2 linked regions of the Canis lupus familiaris genome follow. The protein of the gene in region 2 purifies or fractionates together with the protein of the main gene of each other region. This does not show direct contact. Links are inferred from orthologs where the notes say so. Each region holds a gene or a part of one and is shown on either strand. Other genes may lie near its edges.

Region 1 (2,932 bases), on a different chromosome or scaffold from region 2:
TGCTGACAAGTAGAGGGTGTCAAATGAGAAGATGCGTAAGAGAGAGAGATGCTCTTAAGTAAAGCCTTTGGCTCCAGGCAGACATAGGCAACAAGCAGATACGGTTTGAGCAATTAAATCAAATGGCAAAAAGTTGACTTTTCAAAGACTTGCAGTCTTAACACAGAAACACTTTCAGTCATGACTACAAGGCATGGAGCTGATGCCTCCTAGGTGTGCCGTGAATATTTGTGAGATTAATAGACAAAAAATAATTGGTGAGTGAATCTAATTAAAGGTGAGAAGCCTAGAAGTCCCTTATATCTGATATACTGATCCCAGAGCTTGGGCCCTTGAGCCAGGCTGGATTTGAATCTTGTCTTTACCCTCTTTCTTGCTGTGGGGCCTTCCCCTCCCTATGCCTCCTTTTCTCATTTGTAAAATGGAATTATCATATCTCCCTTCTGTGGATGTTTGTGAAAAGTAATGAGATGATGCACGGTGACATGCTGAGTTCTGGGCCTGCATATGAAGAGCCCTCAGTAAATATTCAAAAATGTAAAAAGCTTCTCTGGTGATGAGGCCAGGTCAGCTTTATAATAGGAGTTCAAACTGAGCACCCTCTCTGTGCCAGGCACTGTGCTGTGTTACTTCAAATACAGTGAGACCGGCCACAGGACTGCAGAGGGTTCAGCTGACAAGACCACTAGGGAGAAGGAGAATTGGGGGGTGGGGTATGAAAAAAGTAAAGACTGTAAAGATTAAGGTTATATTAACCCAGACTCTTAGATGCAAGTGGCAGAAAACTTAACCCAAACTGGCTTCAGCAAAAAAAGGATGTTTGGGTCTCTTTTATGAGGGGCTCAAACTATTGTTGGATCCCATCTCCCTCTTAAGGCAGCTTGCCCCCCCCACCCCACTCCACCCTAGCCAGCCACCAGCTGCTTTGCCCTTATATCCTGCTGGATTATCAAGACCAGATGGCAGACAAACCTCTTTCCTGGTAGTTTCAACAAAGGTCTTAAGGCAGGTGCTCCTTGGACAGGATGGGTCATATGGTCATTCTCAAGCCAATCAGTGTGGCCAGGAAGATGGAATATGCAAATTGGCCGGGCCTGGGGCATCTGTTGGGAAAATGGGGAGGTCAGGATGCAGGGGATTGGATTCTTGGCAGGGGAAACCAACAGAGATAGGAGTAGTGGCATACTGGAGGGCTGTGGCCTCACTGTGGGTGCCTGGCAGGGGGTGGGGGCTTCAGGTTTTTAGGGTTTGTTCATTCCACCAGCTCACTGCCTTTCTCCTCCCTTTGCCAGATTGATCAGCCACGTTCCTTCTTACTGTGATGAGTCACTGTTTGGCTCCCGACCGGAGGGCACTAGCTGGGAGGGCCCGTGGATGGCAAAGGGTGATGCTGCTAAACTCCATGCCCTCTTCTGGACACCTCCAGCCACCCCCAGGGGCAGCCACTCATCCCGCTCCCGGGAGACCCCGCTGCGAGCCATTCACCCAGCTGGTCCCTTGAAGGCAGAGCCCAAGGTGGCAGCAGACTCCCGGAAGCTGTCTATGGCTGGGTTGGACTCTCCGCACCCTCTGAGGCGGGAACGTTCCCATTCCCTCACACACCTGAATGCCCCCAGCGCTGGTCGCCAACCCGCCAGCGCCCTCCACACCAATGGGCCTCGGGATTCCCGGCCTTCCCCCTCAGGGGTGACCTTCCAGAGCCCCCGAGTGACTCCTAGGGCCCGCTCCATTCGTGATTCAGTGCCAGCTGCCCCCCAACGGGGTGGGGCCACCCAGAAACCAAAGCCCCCTTGGAAATGAGTTCCTTGGTCCTCCCCTCCTCGAGCTTGCTCATGGGGTCACAGTGCGGAGCACGGTTTCAGAGGAGGGCACTGGTTGAGGGTGCCCCTAGAGAGACCAGAGTCTCCTAGGTAACCATGAAGCATTGGAAAAGCGTTCCTGGGGGCAGACATAGCGGGAGGAGGCAGTGCCTTCCTTAAGCACCGGTTGCTCCCTACCTTATACCCAATGACGGATTCGGCGGCTGCCCCTTGAGATGCCTGTACCAGTCTTGCTCTAGCCACAGGCCGTGCCAACCCAGGGGTGCCCACCAGTCCCCCATCACTCCTGCGACCTTGTCTTGTCACCTGTGTGAATAAATGGTGTGCTTGCCAACCTAGGAGGGTCCCTTCTTCCTTCATGCCAAGCTTCCTGCTCAGGAGGAGTCTCCAGCTGAGTCTGGAGTTTTCCCAGGCACAGTGTATGGCCTGTGGGGAACAGAGGATCTGGGTGACTCATGGGTGGACATTTTTAAAAATTTTAATAATCTTGTATTTATTTCCACATATTAAAAATATATCAGTAGCTCATCAAAGCCATGACTTTGACTAATTTTATTTTCCTTAGGGCAAGGGCCAATATAGGCCTGGGTTGAATTAAATAGCAAAGTTAAAATATATATATATATATATATAATAAGGCAATGGCAGAAATCATGAGTTTGGGAGTTGACAACTGAGGTTTAGCAACATGGGCCTCATACATTTTTCACATTTTCCAGAAAGACGGAGTAACGAGAACTTGGCTAAGTGGCGAAGCCCAGGAAGACCAGAAAGTTAACATGTATTTGGAGAGCACTCAGGACTGAGGTACAAGCAGTCCAGGAGCACCTTGCTCTCCGGCTCTGCTCCTTGTCACCTGCACCTCCTGGGTCAGGTCATGAGAAACAGCAAGCCTTTGCTTGGGTGGAGTTGCACCCCAAATCCCAGGATCCTGCCAGATTTGGGTGGAGGCCAGGCTTTGGCCTCTTTGTGTCCCCATCACACTGCCCCCCTGCCCTGATGCACTTTCAGGAAGCACTGGGATTAAGAGCCCAGTTGGTAGCCGTATCTTTGGTTCTGTACCTCCACCTCTGGGAGGGGAAGAGCAGACACGTGGGGAACTGGTCTGGGAG
Region 2 (3,657 bases):
TTTTTTTTTTTTTTACTATTGTGGCTTAGTTAAAGAAGAATCTTTGAATATTAAGATTTAAAGTAATAAAAGCCAACAATTTCACATGATATTGATAGTACTGTTCTAAGTACTTCTACATATGTTGATTTAATCCTTATAAAACTGAGTAGTTACTATTAAGGATGTTCATTGTGGAGCAAAGTATTACATCCTGCATTCATACGTGCATCCTGCAAATAGTCCTGACAGTGCCAGACACCAGAAATATATTGGTGAGCAAGACAGGCTCTCTGTCTTCATGGAGCTTACATTTTGTTAGAGAGATGGACAAAAATCAGCTAAAGAAACACCCATATTAAAATATTAAAGGTTAATACAAGTGATAAGAAAATAAAGCTAAAACAGGATAAAGAGAATACAGACTGAGGGGAGTCCTTCGAGTGGTCAGAGAAATCTTTGGAGTGGGGATATTTGCAGAGACCAGGATGAAGTTGGGAACCACAGACTGTGAATAGCATTTCAAACAGCACAAGTGCAAAAAGAACTTGAGATGGGAATGTGAGAGAACTAGTAATGAAGCCATGGTAGCCCGAGCTGGGGAGAGGGATGGAGGGAACAAGTGGCAGGAATTGGGATATTATCTACATATACTAGGAGGCCACCGGAGGGTTTTAAACAGGGCCTGGTGGCTAGTTTATGTTTAGAAGGGTAATTTCAGCTGCTCTGTGAAAGGAGGAAAACATGGGGTATAGCAGTGGGAGCAGAGAGACAGTGGTTGGGCTTCTGTCATAATTCAGGCAGGAGCTGGTGGTGGCATCTTAAACCAGTATTGTAGTGGTAAGGTGATAAGAGGTGACAGATTTATTTGAAAGGAGACTTAACAGAATTTTTTGATAGATTGGATGATTCGGTGTAAGAGAAAACAAGGAGTCGAGGGTGACTTGAGGTTTTTAGATTGAGTGAATGGTGGTGCTGCTTATCGACCTGTGAGTTGGAAGAGGATCATGCAAAGGAGGAATTTTAAAATTTGGTGTTTTGATTAAGACTTTGGTAGCCTATTCAGTATCTTAAGTGGAACTGTTGAGTCTAGCTAAATATATGAGTGCCAGAGAAGAGAGCCTAGGGCTGGAGATAAAACTTTAGGATTTGCCAACCTCCAAGTAGTGCAGAAAGGAAAGAGGATGGAAGAAGGAGAAGGGGTCTGAGGACTTGGCCCTGGGGTACTCTGAAGGCCAGTTAGAGCACGGCTGTCCCCAAAAGGAGGACAGCTGTGTCAGTGCTTCTGAGAAAGCTAGCAAGCTAAGGACAGATGTCTCCTGATACCTACGGATTCATCTCTCCCAAAGTCCTGGGTGGCTCTCCACAAGGGCAATTATAGTGGAGACTTTGAGACAAAAGGCTGAAGTTAACTTCAGGAGATTGGACAGTGAGGATGAGAGTTTGCCATAAGCAAAGAAATGGAGTAGAAAGGGAGGGAGAAGGATGTGTAGTCAAGGAAGGATTTTCTTTACTTTTGATTTTAGATGAGAAATAGTTCTGTAACATGTTTGTGTGCTCTTGAGAGTGATCTTCATAATCATCAAACACTCAGTGATTACCTTCTATGGGTTAAGTGACATCTCAGACTTGATAGGATTCTCTTTCATCTGTGCTTTTTGTGAAATATTTGAATTATAAAATATAATAGAGCTCAGGCTGGGCAGGCAGCCAGCCAGCCCTGGAATCGCACTCTGGTCCTTCAGCTTCCAACCAGGTGATTTTGAGCCCGCTTCCTAAGCCGCAAAATGATACTTAATTTAGATTTTTTAAAACAGATCTATAGATAATGGACTGCATTGACTAGCATACGCATAGTATTCTTTTAGAGTTAGGTTTTCCTTTGATGTCATTGTATATTATTGGAAGAGTCCACTGAACTTGCTACACAGAATATGGTCTATTGGCCAGCAGGATTAATATCAGCTGTCAATTTGTTAGAGATACAGACTGTTAGGCCCCCATGAGATCTGTGGGATTAGAACAGATATGTTCTTAACAAGGATCCCAGAAGATTTGTATGCACATCAGAGTTTGAAAAGCAATGATCCGGAAAACAAGTAGCTGCCTGCCCTATTTTTCAGGTGTTTACAGAAGAAGGTAACCGCTTCCACATTCTACTATGTTTATGATCTGAAAGTGTTTTTTACACTTCACCTCATTGTTTGTGAATGTCTTTGTGAACTGCGATATATTATTATAGCATATTCTTTCTCTGTACTCCTGGCAGTGTACATAATGAAAGCTCTCCATATGTGATGACTTTTTTCTTTATCATTGAAATATAGATAATTAGGAAGGTTGATAAGCAGACCGCATTACTGGATGCAGATGATCCTGTGTCACAACTCCATAAATGTGCATTTTACCTTAAGGATACAGAAAGAATGTACTTGTGCCTTTCTCAAGAAAGAATAATCCAGTTTCAGGTATGTTCTTAAATTATTGGTAAAAATGTGCCATCTCTTTGCTTAACAGCATACAGAAACAGGAAACTCTCATTTAATGTTATTTGTACCCAAATACACAAAGCTGTTCTCCCATATTTATCTCGAGTCCAGTGGTTCTTAACCTACGTGATCCTAAGATATGGCAGTCACCCTAACTTAATGAAGAACTCAAAACTATAACAATGTTTTTGTAGAAATAATTGCAGTTCTGGGAACCGAAAAGTTTTCCTCAGATCATCCAAAAGTAGATTTTGGTTGTTCAATGAATCTCCTGAAACTGTGTGAAGACATCATATATAGATACACGTGTACTTTGGGGGAGGGTTCATAATTACTAGATTTACATTGGGGTCTTCCAAGATCGTAATGATGAGATGTTTCGAAAGCTCATTTTTTACTGTGTTCACTCAGAAGTCTTTCGTGTATGACATGGGTATCCCATTGCATAGGATAATTATACTTTGATGTGAAACTCATTTGTAAACATCTAAAGACCTGTTTCAGAGAGATGACCACATGCAGCCATTCTCCTCAGCCAGAGCTGATGGGCTGGTCTGGGTGTTTTAAGGTAGGGATAGGCGAGTGCCAGTTCACATCTTGGTTCCCTCCTGCTGAAATTGCACGAGTTTCTAACTGCCTCTAAGCATCAGGGGCGCCTGGTTTCTTTCTTAGGGCCCCGTAAAGACTTCTAAATAGCTACTTAAACCACAAATACTGATGTTTTCAGGTACCGGTGTACTCTCAAATGGTCATTGTGAAAGGTGTCATTTTTAATAATGTCACCAAAATATTTCATATTATAATAAAAGCTGCTGAATGTGAGGTTGCTGTATTAAATATTCTGTTTGTGTTTAAGGACTGGCAAAGCACCGTGTTTGGGATGTTCATGAATTTTTACCAAACTCTTCCCCTGTTAAGTCCAGTGTTTGAGTGCTACCTTGTTAGAATTGTCTTACCCTGCAGTGTATGTAATACTGCCTTTCTGAACATTCTTTCTTTGTAAGGCCACTCCATGCCCAAAAGAACCAAATAAAGAGATGATAAATGATGGAGCTTCCTGGACAATCATTAGTACGGATAAGGCGGAGTATACGTTTTATGAGGGGATGGGCCCTGTCCTTGCCCCCGTCACCCCTGTGCCTGTCGTAGAAAGTCTTCAGGTAAGACCACCTCCTCACACGTTGACTCT

Evidence for each region.
Region 1: the proteins of RBPJ (region 2) and RITA1 purify together in Homo sapiens (affinity purification with mass spectrometry; 4 studies listed by BioGRID and IntAct, with this or other methods). This does not show direct contact. The link is inferred for Canis lupus familiaris from reciprocal best matches to the Homo sapiens genes RBPJ and RITA1.

Annotation. Positions count from the first base shown.
Region 1 is NC_049247.1:10,900,982-10,903,913, forward strand, and holds the end of RITA1 (RBPJ-interacting and tubulin-associated protein 1), read left to right. Parts: intron 1-1,292; coding exon 1,293-1,800; 3' UTR 1,801-2,353; downstream 2,354-2,932. UniProt on the Homo sapiens protein: Tubulin-binding protein that acts as a negative regulator of Notch signaling pathway.
Region 2 is NC_049224.1:84,661,690-84,665,346, reverse strand, and holds part of RBPJ (recombining binding protein suppressor of hairless), read left to right. Parts: intron 1-2,306; coding exon 2,307-2,447; intron 2,448-3,472; coding exon 3,473-3,628; intron 3,629-3,657. UniProt on the Homo sapiens protein: Transcriptional regulator that plays a central role in Notch signaling, a signaling pathway involved in cell-cell communication that regulates a broad spectrum of cell-fate determinations.